Linked DNA regions of Rattus norvegicus. Each later gene encodes a partner of the first gene's protein in a complex. Links are inferred from orthologs where the notes say so. Each region holds a gene or a part of one and is shown in the gene's direction. Other genes may lie near its edges.

Region 1 (3,440 bases):
CAGGTCAAAGTGCTGGCAAGGGTCAAAATTAACCATGAAAAACTGAACTCGCCCCACCCGGTCTCCTGGGCCCCTCCTCTTCCCGCTCGGGCTCACCTTGGCAGCACTAGAGATGTCCACAGCCTCCACGATGTCTGTCTGCAGTATTTTTGCTGTGTCTTCCCCATCTTCTCCTACCAGAAACCTGAAAGGCGGTTAGGGTGGCGATGGTGACACTCCCCACCATGGAAGCGGGCATACAAACATAAAAACACCAACACAAAGTTCCAGAAAGACAGGACGAGGGAAAACCCAAGTCGGGGTCCACTCACCCAGGTTCCTCTGCAAGCAGCAGCTCAGCGCGGGCAGCTCTGACGCTCGCCTCTTCCTCCTGTGCTTCAGCCTTCTCCAGTTGGCTTTGGGTTTTAGGCTTCGAATGCGGGAGCTGCGGTATTGATGACAGGGTTGGAAGAACCGAAGAGCATGTTGCGGGGGAGGGGGAGGTCCTGGGAAAGACACTGGAAAAGCCGCCACCGCCCGCGGTTCCTTACCTTTTTGGACTTGTCAATACGGCAGAACTTCCTGGCCACCTCCAGGGGGGCGGGGACAGGTCCTGGGAACGGGTCCTGAGCCTATCGAGGGGCAGGGAGGTAAGAGGCAGGTTCTGATGGACCCGGTTCCTCTCGTTCTCAGGGGGCGACCTGCACCGCCACCCTGTCAATCCCGGGCTCACCCCAGACAGGGTCCTCTGCGGCTTCTTCCAGTCTGAGGCGTTCTTTGGGATCGGGGGCTTCTTGGAGAACCGAGGCTTCTGGGCGATGCGCGCGCTCTGGGACCTCGGGGGTCGCGGCTCCCCAGTCCTCGCCTTCTTCCGTGGCGGCCCCGGAGAGGCGCCGGCGGCGGACGGGGTGGGCTCCTCCTCCCAGTAGCGCCGCGGTTTCTAAGGGGCAGAGGAGAAGCCCTCGCACGCGCAGCCCGAGCCGGGCCCCGGGGCGCGGACGCCTCCCACCAAAACTACCTTCCTCTTGGCCTGAGGCTTGTCTTTCTTGGGTGGGTCACCCCTACCCGGCTTGGGGGCTGTCTCCATCCCGACGACGGAACGACGATCCACGTGCAAAACTCCTTTCAGTCTTCCCAAGGCCTGCGAGGAAACTTCCGGAAGTCCCCGAGACTTCATCCAATCATCGCCGTAAGGGCGTCTGAAGCCTCTGGCGCCATGTTGAGAGAGGGCACGCCCCTGAGAGCCGGATAGGCTCGCTAACAAAGCAAATTCTAACCAAATAAAGATTTAAAAAAAGTCTAGGTCCAAAATCCTGGTGGTGATAAGCTTTTACTTTCCATATTAAATGCTCTGTCTTGCCCAAAATCTCTCGAGTCCAGTCTTTTAAGTAGAACAAGCCTCACACAAGTCAGAACTACACGTCCCGGCATGTGTCAGAATGTAACTTCCGGCGCCGTCTTTTTTCCCCCGGCATGCCTTGTTTATTTCCGGGTTTATGAATACAGAGGGCAGAGCGTGAAAAGGTTAGGGTTTGGATTTAGGGGGGTGTCTCTTCTTTTCGCTCTCTAATGCCTAGGGAGTGACTATTCTGGACGTAGAGAGTCCACGGTAGCTCGTGCTGTCCTTCTGCAGGGCCAGGAAGGGGAGCTCAGGTGCTTTTCAGAGCTTGAGACCCAGCGACCCCCGCCCAGGAGGCTTTCTCCTTCACCATGGCCGAACTGATCCAAAAGAAGCTGCAGGGAGAGGTAGAGAAATATCAACAGCTGCAGAAGGGTAAGAGAGCGGAGCTGGTGTGGTCTTGTCCCTGTCCACTCTCAACTCTGATGAGGCGTCGTGCCCCATCAGAGGGTAGGAAGGGGGGATATTGTGTGCAGCGAACTCGGTATCCTCTCTTTCTTCCTCGCAACCATTCTCCCCAGAATTGTGCGGTTCCGGGCCCATTTGATGTTTCTAATCGTGTATTTCCTCTCACCATCCCAGACTTGAGTAAATCCATGTCAGGGAGGCAGAAGCTTGAAGCCCAGCTAACGGAAAATAACATTGTGAAGGAGGTGAGGGTGGGACGCTGGGGGAGGGGGGGAAGGGCGAGGAGGGACTTCCCTGGGCACTGTTATGTCATACACCGCCCCATCCCCTCTTCAGGAACTGGCCTTGCTGGATGGATCCAACGTGGTCTTTAAGCTTCTGGGACCCGTGCTTGTCAAACAGGAGCTGGGGGAGGCTCGGGCCACAGTGGGGAAGAGGCTAGACTACATCACAGCGGAAATGTAAGTGCAGCAGCTGGCCTTTTCAGTGCAGAAATGTTGAGCCCGTGCTGGATAGTTCTATATCTATAGCAACGCCCGCCTAGCCACTTCCATAAAGTGGCTGCCCTGGAACTCGCTGTGTAGACCGTGCTAGCCTGTGGTAGATGCACCAGCTGCTGCCTCCCAAGGGATGGAAGCATGTGCCACCATTCCTGGCCTTTCTTTTCGTGTTACATTTGGGCCTGGCCCATATTAGTCAAAGGATAACCTGTGGGAATGTTCTCCCTACTGTAGGGTTCTTCTGTAGCTTGAATTCAGGTGCCAGCCTTGAAGGACAACAGCCCTACCTAACTGATCCATCTCACCAGCCAGTTCTTCCCCTTAGCGCCCTCCCCGCTTTCTGTCCCACAAACCTCAAATGTTCCACCAGTTTCCCTTTATTCCAGAACGTTGAGCCCTCACTGATTTCTCCTTTCTGCCTGCCTCTCTTTTCCTTCTCAGTAAGCGCTACGAATCGCAGCTTCGGGACCTCGAAAGGCAGTCAGAGCAACAGAGGGAAACCCTTGCTCAGTTGCAGCAGGAGTTCCAGCGGGCCCAGAACGCAAAGGCTCCCGGGAAAGCCTGACCCCGTGGGAGGGGGAGGGGGCTGGGGAGGGAGGGATGAGGCTAACCCTGAGTCAATAAAATGTAAACAGAACCAAACCTACTTTCTTTCTAGCCAGTCTTTATTCACAGTCCTTAACTTCTCTGTACGCTTTACACCTCCGGGACTCACATTCCTGTGACTGAAATCTCTAGCTGGATTCTCCCGTGGCTGAGAACTGAACCTAGGGTGTTGCCTGTGTGCCCTCAGTTTCAAAACTTGAGTCTGAAATGTCTCAAGCTATTTCTTTTTTTTTTTTTTTTCTTTTTTTTCGGAGCTGGGGACCGAACCCAGGGCCTTGCGCTTGCTAGGCAAGTGCTCTACCACTGAGCTAAATCCCCAACCCCTACTATTTCTTGCTCATATATACAACCCTTTGGCTTCCCTTATGTTGGTGGGCGCAACCCGGGGACACCGGAGTAGACACTGTCTACAGCACAGCATGTCATTGCCACAGAACTCAGTTCTCTGGCCTGAGAGCCCAGGATATGACCCGGTCATTCGCTGTGAACACTTGTCCCGGAGCAGCCCTAGGTTACCTGATTTCCTCTGTCTTCTTAGGATTGGTTAG
Region 2 (4,067 bases), on another chromosome or scaffold:
GTGGGCAAAACACCCATATGGATAGATTACAAAAATGAAAAGACTTGGCACTCCCTGGAACTTGTCTAGCAATCTCTGCCTTTGGTTTCTCGGCTGCCTGTCACTTGTCACTTCTGTTCCCAGTCACTCTAGAACTCACTAGCTGCCTTTTATCACTGTCTTCACTGCTATAGCCACTCGGCATGTCTTCATATTACCAGCTCAGTCCACCATACTATTAATCCAGGTGGATAGACCACTGGAGAAATCTTACAATGGGACTAATGTTACAACACAACTGTACATTGTACAGCACAGGAGGGTGTCTCCTGGCTGACTTAAAAGTGAGGGGCACCTGCTTAGAATGCCAGAATGTCAGAGGGTAAACAAGAATGTTTGCTGTCCTTAGTACAGCCCTCCATGCAAATGAAGCATTAAATTTACACTATGGTACAGTGGGTTGTGGAAATGGACTACCATGTTTGCACCAATAACCAAACAGTTGCTTATTCAAATAAAGGGCCATGTTTCTTCACAAGTCACAGGCAGTTTTTGTTTGGCTACCTGGAGAACTGTACCCACTCAAGACAGGTGAAAATGGCTGGTCAGAGTATGGTGGCAGCACCTTTAATCCCAGCAACTCAGGAGGCAGAGACACCTTCTCTTCTTTTTTAAAAGTTTCTTGGGCATGTGATGATCAAAATCATGACATAAAGTGTTTGAAAAGTTTGGGCTGGAATAGTGCCTTCAGGATCTAGTGTATTCTGGAAAAAATGGGCTGGAAAAGAGTGGTTGGCTGGGCAGCTTCCTCAGGGCATCCTTGGGGTGTCTAAATTAGGTGTGAGTGGGAGAACTTTGGGCAGCTGCTTCGTTGATAGTTCTCTCAGGACATCCAAGCACCTGGGAAAGGTCTAATAATTGTCAGTGAAGGAGTCAACTCACCCTGGCATAAACATCTTATACTAAAGAAAAAAAGCATTAAAAGAGGAGTTTATAATTAAAAACCTGCCATTCACATTAATAGCGCTTAAGAATCTGACGGTTCCCAGTCAAACCTGGCCAGGGCAGGAAATGCCTGCCCTGGGGGAACCTAACCTGTGACACAGACGGAAGTTGGTGGGTGAAACTCAGCCGCCGACAAGCGTAGCTTGTAGCCAATAGAAAACGAAGTCTTTTCGCTTCAACCAATGGCGTACTAATAAGGGCGGGTCCTGGAGAGCGGCCTAGTAACGGCCGCGTGGTAACCCAGGCGCCTGGCGTGCCGTAGTTCCTAGTCTCCACGCAGGTTGTGGCTGCACACACTCGTCAAAATGAAGATTGAGGAGGTGAAGAGCACCACGAAGACGCAACGCATTGCCTCCCACAGCCACGTGAAGGGGCTGGGGCTGGATGAGAGCGGCCTGGCCAAGCAGGCGGCTTCGGGGCTCGTGGGCCAGGAGAACGCGAGAGAGGTGGGCGTGGGGCGTGTGCACGCGGTGTGGGCGGCGGGACCAGGTCTCACTAAGATTTGTCTGAGAAGTGAGGATCACATTAGCCAGCAAGGGTCACGGCAGGCAAATTAGGCCTCACCGGAAACACAGTGGAAAGCTGTGGGATTAAATGTAGAATTGACTAAATTTTCGGAGTTGATATGGGTTCTTTAGGCCTGGGAGCTGATCTGTTAAGTGGAGCGGTGAGGAGGAACACTATGACCTATTCCCCATCCAAGCACTCTAGCTTTTCCAGTTCAGTCTTCTTAAAGTCATTGGAAGTTATGCCAGGTCTTTCGATCGGTTCTGTTTTGCACACGAAGAAATTAAAGGTGGGCCAGGTCGCTTAACCACCTGCCAGTTCAGCAGTAATGAGGCTGGTATTCTCCCGACCCCACCCCAAATGATTACTCTTCCCATTTCCTCAGACTGCTCCACTTTGATCCCTGCAGAGACTCAGTATCTACAAAAACTTGCTGTTTATATGTGGTGAAGACTGCTTTCCCAGCCTCAAGAGCATCATCTATCCAAAAGGGAAACGTTTGACCCTAGCTCACTTGCATCTTTTTTTGCAAGCAATAGTTTAATGCTTTCTATTTGTCAGGCGGCTTTATTGTCTGTTATTTCATTTCTGTCTAATAAACCTCACTTTGGTCTGATGTTTCTAAGCACACAGAAACATTGACATGTTTGCACATTAAATCCCAGTGTGCCAAAATTCTACAGTTAACATTTTACAGTGATGCTTTATGGTATATCTGTTCATGTATGTCTACCGTCACAAGTCAGAGTAAACTGTGGACATCAGCCCACTTTGCACATAAGCCCTTCCTTGTGGGTACAGTTGTTTTGAACACTCGGAGTCAGATGAGTAATAGGTGTTAGGTAAAATAAATCTGAGGACACTCACCTCAAGTGAAATGGCCAGGATAGATACTGGATTGTATGTGACTTCAGAGTCTGTTCTAGACCTGCCTCTGCACTGGGTTCTTGTTTGGCCAATCACGCTAGCAGCCTCCCTGGTACTCAGTATCTTCACCCTTATTATTATTGTCATTAGCTGGTATTTATTTATTTTTTTTATTTTTTATTTTTTTGATTCAATAAAGTTTTATTTTCCCAAATGTACAGCTGATTCAATCTGTTTATGCATCTTCACCAGCAGCTGGGGCATCTCCACCCTTTGTGTTTCTGGTGTAAATTACTTGGGCTCTGTGCTTTGAAACCAGCTTGATAAGTCCTTTACTAAGTAGCTCCTGAAGGGCTGCCCTGGCCAAGGAACCTCGAATCTTCAGTCTCTCGGAGACCACAGCTGGAGTAATAAGCTTATAGTTGGGAACTTCCTTACAAAGTTTGTCGTAAGTAGCTTTGTCAAACAGGATGAGATTGTTCAGCTTGTCCCGAACTTTGCCTTTGGACCACTTCTTCTTTTTGGCCTTGCCACCAGATTTATTTACTGGGTCCTTGTCTTTTTTGGCCGACTTTCCGGCATCCTTCTTCTTCTTGTCGTCTTTGGGCAGCATGGCGAAACTCAGAGAGTAGTGTGGACCACTGCAGCCACACTCTGGTATTTATTTTTGTATGTTTGTTTTCACGACAGGGTCTCACTTTTAGCTCTGGCTGTCCTGAGACTCTGTAGACCCTGCTGGCCTTGAGTTCACAGGGATCCATCCGCCTCTGCCTCCTGAGTGCTGAGATTAAAGGCGTGGGCCTTTACTATGCACCTGGCTTCCTTAGCTGGTATCTCTTTCTTTTCCTATTTGACACAATGTGTGCGTAGGCTGTGCAGTTATAGGCCTGCCATGGTGTTTGGGTAGAGGTCAGAGGTTCCTCCTTCCATTGTGGGATCCAGGGATTGAACTAAGGTTTACACTGCAGGTGCTTTTTACCCACTGAGCATCTCACCAGCTCTTTCCAACTCTTATTGGTTGGATTCATAGCACACCCTTTTTGTTTAGATAATGTTGCCGTAGCCAAACTGGCCTGGAATGCACAGCCCTGCTGCTTTTGTTAAGTACTAGGTCTGTGTTGGCTCCTGCCTGCCTCAACCTCCCCTTTCCCTTCTGTTCACTATACTTTGGTAGCTGCAGCATGTTGACCCTTAGACATATCAAACTTGTACTTTGGTTATTTTCAATTTGCAATTTTTGCCTGAAATGTAGATTTCTGCCCGGGGCTTCAAATGTTACATACAAGGTTATGAGAAAGCCCCCTCCGCCCCAGCTCTCCCTAGCTGCTCAGTGTCTCATTTTGCTTCTCTCTTTGTGGGAGCCATCATATGGCATGAGCTAGAGCACGTGGCTCACCCCCACCGCTCCACCCCACAGCAGTGGTGTCCTGTCAGAAGAGCATCGGAACTGTGTGGACCAAGCCCTGAACTGTTTCTACCATGAAGCATTTTAAGATTGACTGATTGTTTCTTTCTGTTTTGTGCAGGCATGTGGTGTCATAGTCGAATTAATCAAAAGCAAGAAAATGGCTGGAAGAGCTGTCTTGTTGGCAGGGCCTCCTGGAACTGGCAAGGTATTCATTCATTTTCTCTCTCTCTTTTTTTTTTTTTTCCTTTTCTTTCCCTTTTTTTCTGGAGCTGGGGACCGAACCCAGGGCCTTGCGCTTGCT
Region 3 (4,217 bases), on another chromosome or scaffold:
TTGTTGGTGGGTTTGCAAGCTGGTACAGCCACTCTGGAAATCAATCTGGAGGTTCCTCAGAAAATTGGAAGTAGTACTATCTTAGGACCCAGTTATACCACTCCTGGGCATATACCCAAAAGATGCTCTAACGTATAACAAGGACACATGCTCCACTATGTTCACAGTAGCCTTATTTATAATAGCCAGAAGCTGGAAAGAATCAAATAACCCTCAACAGAGGATGGATATAAAATGTGGTATATTTCTACAAAAATAATGACTTCATGAAATCCATAGGCAAATCGATGGAACTAGAAAATATCATCCCTAGTGAGGTAACCCAATCACAAAAAAAAAAACAAAAAACAAAAAAACAAAAAAAAAAAAACCACATGGTATGCACACTCACTGATAGTGGATATTAGCCAAAAATCTCGAATTACCCAAGATCCAATCCACAGACCACATGAAGCTTAAGAAGGACGACCAAACTGTGGATGCTTCAGTTCTTCTTAAAAGGGGGAGTAAAAATATTCATAGGAGGAGATATGGAGACAAAGCTTGGAACAGAGACTGAAGGAATTGCCATTCAGAACCTGCCCTACCTGAGGTTCCAGCCCATAAACATACAATATTTCTGATGCCCAGAAGTGCATGCTGACAGGAGCCTGATACAGCTGTCTCCTGAGAGGCTCAGTCAGAGCATTACAAATACACAGGCAAATGCTAGCAGCAAACCATTGAACTGAGAACGGGGTACCATTGGAGGAGTTAGAGAAAGGATTGAAGGAGGTGAAGGAGCTTGCAACCCCATAAGAACAACAATACCAACCAACCAGAGCTCCAGGGACTAAATCACCATCCAAAGACTATATACATGGACAAACCCATGGCTACAGCTGCATATGTAGCAGAGTATGGCCTTGTTGGGCACTAAGGGGAGGAAAAGTCCTTGGTCTTACCAAGGCTGGATCCTCATTGTTGGGGAATGTCAGGGTGGGGAGGTGGGAAGCGGTTGGTGGTTGGGGACGGGGAACACCTTCATAGAAGAAGGGGAAGTGGGGATGGGATACGGTGTTTATGAATGGGAAACCGGAAAGGGGAATAACATTTGAAATGTAAATAAAAATATCCAATTTAAAAAATTAAAAAAAAAAAGCCAAGACCACAGTGTTAGGCACACTACTGATTAGTGATTTATTTTTACATAGCATCCGCTAGGGGGCAACACAGACCATTCATAGACTCTCCAGCCAAGCCAGACGAACCTTTAGCCAAAACTAATGTGCGCTGATGCACAGCTACTTAAAGTCGGAGTTCCAGGATCTAGTATCCACGCCTGCTACTGAGCAGGCGTAAATATGCGCACTCCATTGGTCGAGGTTCCGGAAGGGGCAGGGTCCTGAAAGGAACACTGGCTTCCGGTTGGGCCTGCCGCCTGCTGTTTCATCCACCGCGGTTCCTCCGTTCGGTGCGGCGTGGCGATGCCTAGCGGTGCGGAGCACCCCGGAGACAGCGCCGCGCCGGGACCCACCCGCACATCGACCGCGCACGCCGAGGCCCTTAGCAGTAAGGTGCCGTGGGACGCCGAGGATGGGCGGTGGGCGGCGGGCGGCGGGAAACGGGTCCCGCGGTCGCATCGGTGCCCAGTAGCCTCACCGGTCCATTCTCAGCACCGGCCGCTGGTTTCCCCTGCGTCCTGCAGATTTGCTATGATGGAGGCACAGATTTATCCACTGCAAACAACAGTGATACTGAGACAGAGGTCTTAATGACGTTTTTCCTTTACGCGTTTGCACCACTCTCCTCTCGGAACCCTTCACACATGTGATCTGTTGCTCGTTGGCTGTGCTTCATCCATTTAGCCATGTACCCGCCTGGACGCCATCCATGACGTCCATCATGAAAGTTTAGAAATCTGCCCGTTCTTCCAGACTCAGGCAAAATTTTCTTAACCGAAGTTATCAGTTGCCTGTTGACCTTAAAATATATTCTCACCTTTAAGTGATCCTAAAAACATCAGTTTGGTCATCTCTTTATTATTCAACCAGGACTGTAGCAGATTAATTTTTTCCCTTCCTCTTTTTGGGATAGGGTTTCATAAGTAGCTCAGGCCAGCCTCAAATATTGTTTGAGGATCACCTTGAATTATTCTCTTGCCTAATAGTCAGGATTTCAGGGAGGCAACCCCATACCTGAACTGTACAGTGATCTCAACTTCCAGTTACAGACAAAAATCTTTAAACGTGTGGATTGGAGGGGGTGTGGGTGCAGCCTTTTCAGTTATTAAACATCCTGAATTCCATATTTTTTTTCTGTCCTGTATGACATCTTCAGTACATTGCCTTATTTCCAGTGTGCCACAGTATTCTGTGGTGTCACCTAAAGTGAGATATATTATATACCTGTCGTTTGTAGTGAGCATAAAAGCGCTGTACAAGCAGCCTTGAATCTCAGGGAGGGTGTACTCAATGTAGCTTTGTCGTATGTTAGTACAGCTCTTAGCACTGCCCATGCACACTCATTTGGGTGGGGATGAGTTTTCAGAATACTCTGGCTACTGCCATAGCAAGCCTCTTGGCACTGTGTAGCTGTGTCAGTGTAGACTTATTGCCTATTTGGGCATTTCATCTGATGATAAGGAACAAACTGAGCTTAAGGATACCAGCAGTATGCTGTCCTTAATACTCAAAATAGAATGATACAAGGGTGGGAGATGATGTTGTACCACTGCAGGAAGGGCGTTCGTTCAGTACCGTTCCGTTCATTTTATCCGAATGTCTGGCTGTCATCCAGTGCATACATCATAAAACCACTGGCTATTGGTAAAGAGGAGAAGCCACATTCATTTCTCTTTTTTAGTCTACAGCCAGGCCTTATAAAATTAAAAGATTGGTATTAATTTGGCTAGACAGTGTCTCACCCTGGTTAAAGATGTGAGCTGTGGTAACTGGCGCCTGGCAAGTCTAAGTCAGCTTCTTTCTCCAGCTGTCTTCTACTGGTTCCAGCCTGAGTGTGGTTGCATCTGTACAGTATCCATTTAGACAGGCAGTCCATGACAGGCCCCAGTCCCATGTTTTGTTTTAAAGCAGTTGCTAAAAATGTGCTCACTAAACATAGTTTGAAAACTTCCACTTTAGGTTTTTTTCTTTACTTTAATAGATTAAAGAACAGAAAGTTATTGTGGATGAACTTTCTAACCTGAAGAAGAATCGGGTAAGTTGCTGTGGGAATCTGAATAGTATATATATATATAATATTAAAATTATGATTTAGATTATTTATGCTAACATTGCAAAATTCAAACATCGTAATTTAAAAACTAAAGTGATATCCTCATTTGGTTTTGCATGTTTTAAATTTGTTCTTCCTGTATAAGTCAGTAGATCTCAAAGATGAAAAAATTATATTTTAACAAAAAAGAATGAAGTTTTCCATAGAAAACTTTAATATTCCAAATACTTAACCCATTTCATGGCTTTTAAATAAATGTGTTAATAAATCAGCTACAATTAACTAATAATCGACATTTCTGATATTGTCATTTGTGAAATATTAGATGCTAGGGCAAATTAATACAGAAATTTTTGGAGATCAAACTGGCAAAATGAGTAAATGCTGTATGACACTTCAGAGTAACCGGTGTGGAAGCAGTTGTGAGGATGAATGCGTGTTTACCTGCAAAGGTACTTGCCAGCATCTGTAGTGAAGAGTTGACAGAACAGTAAATGACTGAGCTTGAAGGCAGTAAAGAACTATACATTGTACCAATGTGGTGATATAAAAGAACCTTCCTTGGTCAGAAAAGATCTCCATGTATTATTCGTTTATGAACTAAATTATAAACCTGTTGCTGTGATAGCCTTTGTTATTTGAAAGACTATGGTGTGATGACACATGTGAAGCAAACAACCGTCTCTGGGTGGCATAGTGATCAGTGACTTTGTTTATCTGTGGTAATCACTCTTCTGAATATTCCTGAAGTTCAAGAGTGGGTGATAAGAGGATCCTGTTCAACATCACTGTGCAAGTCGCATTCTTCTTTTTTATTAGCATGTCATGGGTACTGCGGCCTGAAGCATGGACTTTCAGTGCAAGGACATGATTGTCATGACCCTGGGACACCACTCATGGGTGGCTAGGAATATTGGTGCTGTATGATGGAGTGAATGGACTGTGACATAGTAGGTGCTCTCATAGCACAACACAGGAGAAAGCAGAATACAGACTTCATT
Region 4 (4,062 bases), on another chromosome or scaffold:
GCACACAGCCACCAGGGGCAGCTCCCAGGAAGTCGATGAGGACTCTGCCATGGCTCTGGGCCTGTGAATGACACAGGCAGTTTTCTCAGGATTTCTACCGCGTGCCGCGGAGAAACTTGGGAGGCTCAAGTGGGGGTGGAGCCGGAAACTTACTTTTTTTTTTTCTGATTTTACCTCCCCTTTGAGACCGGGTCTTTTTGTAGCCCAGGCAGACCTTTCTATGTAGCGGGGATGATCTTAAACTCCTAGTTGATCCTCCTGCCTGTTTCCCGAGTGCTGGGATTAGAGGTGTGTCCCACCAACCCTAGCGACTTGTTTTCATTCTTCCAGAGCATTAAATAACCCTAAGCTACTGGAGTACACGCATTAAATGTTTGGTGGATGGCAGGTCCACTATTCGGTTAATAAACATGGACTTAGCAACTACGTGCTAGACAAAGAACATAAAATATGTTACCTGGGCTGAGTACAAAGTACTGAGATTTGAGGTAATCGGTATCCGGTACACAGAAGGGACAGGAGTTGATGAGGAGGCCTGGTGATGAAGCCCAGCCTGAAGAAGGTGAAAAATCAGGACACCTAACCCTCCTTCAAGCTGTAAGTTTCTAGAATTCTCTGCCATTTCCAGACCTGGCCAGTAATCCCCTCCCCCAAGGCTTCGAAAACACTTTACTACTAGTAGTTATGAGATCATAAAATGGGAAAATGGAAGAGGACACTATGATCGGTGCCTTAATACCTCAACTTCCAGTGATCTCACATTAAAACTGAAGCCCTTTTCCTCTGCCAAACGTTTCCGCAGTTCAAGTCATCTCATGGAACCTTCCTCGTTTCCCCAATTCTCTCTTCTCGGCTGTGCCACCTGGACAGCTTTATAGACTCAACATGTATCTTTCCCCTTGTACCAGAATCTCAGAAGGAAAGTTCACCCTCCTTAGATCTCCACCATTCTCGTGGTGGGTAGGTAGATGGGTACAAGATCAGATCCCAACCCGAGCCCCCGCCCTCTGATTAGCGCGTCCTTCCCCGGCTCTCCCCGGGGCAAGAATCTCTGTTGCACAAGTTAAAGCATAGCAGGTGGAATTCACCGCAGCAGGCAGGGTTGGGGAGTAGGTCCTACATGAAGACACAGCCAAAACCATTCGCAGGGTCGGATCTGAAGAGCTGCCAGAAGCCAGAAGCGCAGGAGCAAGTGGGCGGTAACCACTAGAGCGGATGTGACGCAGTGGGAGTGCGCAGGCCGGAAAGCTTGCAGGTGGGGAAGATGGCGGACAGCAGCGGTCGTGTGGGCAAGAGCGGCGGGAGTGGCACGGGGAAGGGGGCGGTGTCGGCGGAACAGGTGAGGAACCGCGAGCGTAGAAGGCACCTGGGTCGGTGTCGAGTTCGTGCAAGGAAAAGGACTTGTGATTCAGAGGGGCCTTTAGTCCTTCCCACGTTCTCCGTGGTCACGCACAGGGGAGAGGGCGTTTTTGGGGGTGATCACAATCCTTTCTAGGGCGTGAGTAGGTGGGGTAGGTAGGTGAGAGGCACGCCCGGGGTGTGGGTGGGTAGTCGAGAGAGAAAGCTCTTAGATGCAGGATCTGGGAGGGTTGTCCAGGTCCCTAAGGACATGGATCGTCGTCTCCCCCTCTACGAGGTACCCTAAAGAGAATATGGTGTTTGAAGTGTCATCTAGTAACGAATCCCAGGCTGTTCTTAGTCAGTGAGTGGGTTATTTAGTCTTTGACTCCAAAACCGTGTTCACCATCACAAACACGCTGCAGAGCCACGTGACTCAGACTCTGACCAGTTTAGTGTTCAGTAACTATTTGGACTAAGGAGACTGTGGCTTAGTTATTTTCTTGTTTTGTTTTGTTTTTGTTTTGTCTTGGGGTGGGGATGAGGGTTGCTATAGGGTCGGGCTGGGTCGCTCTATGTAGCCTTGCTTTTCTGGAATTCACTATGTAGACCAAGCTGGCCTGGAACTCACAGAGATTCGCTTGTTTCTGCCTCCCAAATACTGGGATTATCTGGGACTACTATTCCTGGCTCGGGTTGTTTTCGTTTTTTGAGACATGGTCCAGCTCACTCTCTATGCTCCCTTCTGCAGAGACTTAAGTTTTCAGAAGAGGCTAGAAACCATTTTCTAATGCAGGTGTGATTCTGCTCTTCATAACATCGGGATACATCTGACGAATTAATCAGAAAGCCCTTTGTGGTATAGGGACCATGTTTTGTTAGTCTTGGGACTAGTGTTTAATTGATATTAGAAGAACACACAATTGGGGTTGGGGATTTAGTTTAGCTCAGTGGTAGAGCGCTTGCCTAGGAAGCGCAAGGCCCTGGGTTCGGTCCCCAGCTCCGAAAAAAAGAACCAAAAAAAAAAAAAAAAAAGAAGAAGAAGAACACACAATCGAAATGAAAATAGTTGAAGCTAGGGGTGTAGTTTGGTGGGTTAAATGGGAAAGCCTTGAGGTGTGGGGTCTGGGTGGGTGTCTGTTCTCACCTGGTATGGAGGTCCAGGGTTGGGATTGAAGAGCTATTTTAATCATATATTTGTCAGTTGCTTGTTGAGCAATCACTGCAGGTAAAAGTATCAGCATAGGGACTGGAGTGGTGGCTCAGCCGTTAAGAGCACTGACTGCTCTTCCATGGGTCCTGGGTTCAAATCCCAGAAACCACATGGTGACTCCCAACCATCTGTAATGAGATCTGATGCCTTCTGGTGTGTCTGAGGATAGCTACAGTGTACTTATATATAATAAATAAATACATCTTTAAAAAAAAGTATCAGCAGAAATAGTTTAAAACCCATACTGTTGGAGAGCATCGTCTGTTGAAGTGGGGTTTACAGTTCTACTATGAGTCGGAAAGTAAGTATTCAAAGAGAAGTGACATTCTGGGGATGGAAGAGGCACCTTGACAGTGGGAAAGAAAAAAAGTAAAGCTTTTGAGAGTCTGTCTTGTGTTATACTTTGCTTAACACAGAGAAACAGGTAAGTGAAATAGACTTTATCTTAAATTTGGACACAGCCAAGTGTGATGGCTCATACCCATAATCCCAATGGGTTACCCTCTCAGTTCCAGGCTAGCCTAGGTTACAGAGTGAAACACAATCTCAAAAACAAACAAGACAGACAGAATGGCAAATAAAAATGAAACAACGAGACTTCAAAAATATGTTATGTATATTTGCATGTCTGAGTGTGTGCATGTACCACACCTGTGCAGGAGCCATTGGAGGCCAGAAGAGGGGTCCAAGCCCCTGATAACTGCTTATTAGCTACCATGTGGGTCTTGAGAACCAAACCCAGGCCTTCTGCTATAGAAGTAACAGTTCTTCCACCGAGCCATTGCTCCAGTCCTTACACCAAAAACTTCTGCACATGATTTCTCTTCTTACTTTTTACCCTCCTCTATCTGTGAAAACATGTACTTCCCATTTCATAACTATTTAGTGTACTAGGCAAGAAAATTCATTCGACACCCTCCCCCCCCATCACCATGACTAAAAAACAGAGACTACAGAGTGTGTTGACTAAATGCTAGTTAGGGGTGGAGAGATGGCTTCTGCACTTGAGCACCTCATCTCACACAAACACATACATACATGCACATGATCTGAACAATCTTTCTAAATGCTAATTTGTTTTTATTTTCTAGAGGATTCTTCAGCTTAATTCTAAAGGCTGAGGAAAGTTAGTCAATGTGAGGATTTTTTTTTTTCGTTAGAAGAAATGTGTTCATAAGCCTTGAGCCATGAACTGCCCGGCCTTGGAAATGCTGGAAGATTTAAAAGAGCTGTATTGCAAGACTTGAAGAAGACACAGTCAGCCTTGTTGTTCTTTGACACAAGTTTTTTTCATGTGGCCTAGAACTCACCAGCCAGGCTAGGATGGCTGGCCAGAGAGTCCATTGACCCTCTCTTCCCCAGCACTTGGATAACAAGCCTCAGAATTTAAGTTCCCTAGCATTCCATTGCCAGGCAGTTCATGCCTCAATACCATACCTCCCCCACCCCCCAAGTTCTCAAACTCTGGTTCTTTGGTTCTTTACCTGTGGAACTTTTCTTCCCAATTTAAG

What was found.
Region 2: Pfdn6 (region 1) and Ruvbl1 share a complex: the UniProt entries of both Homo sapiens proteins name them as parts of the PAQosome complex. The link is inferred for Rattus norvegicus from reciprocal best matches to the Homo sapiens genes PFDN6 and RUVBL1.
Region 3: Pfdn6 (region 1) and Asdurf share a complex: the UniProt entries of both Homo sapiens proteins name them as parts of the PAQosome complex. The link is inferred for Rattus norvegicus from reciprocal best matches to the Homo sapiens genes PFDN6 and ASDURF.
Region 4: Pfdn6 (region 1) and Pfdn2 share a complex: the UniProt entries of both Homo sapiens proteins name them as parts of the PAQosome complex. The link is inferred for Rattus norvegicus from reciprocal best matches to the Homo sapiens genes PFDN6 and PFDN2.

Annotation. Positions count from the first base shown.
Region 1 is NC_086038.1:4,946,387-4,949,826, forward strand, and holds Pfdn6 (prefoldin subunit 6), read left to right. Parts: upstream 1-1,457; 5' UTR 1,458-1,689; coding exon 1,690-1,753; intron 1,754-1,960; coding exon 1,961-2,031; intron 2,032-2,122; coding exon 2,123-2,247; intron 2,248-2,727; coding exon 2,728-2,851; 3' UTR 2,852-2,932; downstream 2,933-3,440. Other genes in the region: Wdr46 (WD repeat-containing protein 46), read right to left, coding at 1-12, 97-184, 312-424, 531-611, 713-919, 998-1,066. UniProt on the Homo sapiens protein: Binds specifically to cytosolic chaperonin (c-CPN) and transfers target proteins to it. Binds to nascent polypeptide chain and promotes folding in an environment in which there are many competing pathways for nonnative proteins.
Region 2 is NC_086022.1:122,488,495-122,492,561, forward strand, and holds the start of Ruvbl1 (ruvB-like 1), read left to right. Parts: upstream 1-1,259; 5' UTR 1,260-1,289; coding exon 1,290-1,430; intron 1,431-2,514; exon of another isoform or gene 2,515-2,593; coding exon of another isoform or gene 2,594-2,971; exon of another isoform or gene 2,972-3,033; intron 3,034-3,884; coding exon 3,885-3,971; intron 3,972-4,067. Other genes in the region: Rps25l3 (small ribosomal subunit protein eS25-like), read right to left, coding at 2,594-2,971. UniProt on the Homo sapiens protein: Possesses single-stranded DNA-stimulated ATPase and ATP-dependent DNA helicase (3' to 5') activity; hexamerization is thought to be critical for ATP hydrolysis and adjacent subunits in the ring-like structure contribute to the ATPase activity.
Region 3 is NC_086027.1:55,617,390-55,621,606, forward strand, and holds the start of Asdurf (ASNSD1 upstream open reading frame protein), read left to right. Parts: upstream 1-1,409; 5' UTR 1,410-1,466; coding exon 1,467-1,556; intron 1,557-3,144; coding exon 3,145-3,198; intron 3,199-4,217.
Region 4 is NC_086031.1:86,304,574-86,308,635, forward strand, and holds the start of Pfdn2 (prefoldin subunit 2), read left to right. Parts: upstream 1-1,254; 5' UTR 1,255-1,264; coding exon 1,265-1,339; intron 1,340-4,062. Other genes in the region: Nit1 (deaminated glutathione amidase), read right to left, coding at 1-61, 458-553, 1,121-1,122. UniProt on the Homo sapiens protein: Binds specifically to cytosolic chaperonin (c-CPN) and transfers target proteins to it. Binds to nascent polypeptide chain and promotes folding in an environment in which there are many competing pathways for nonnative proteins.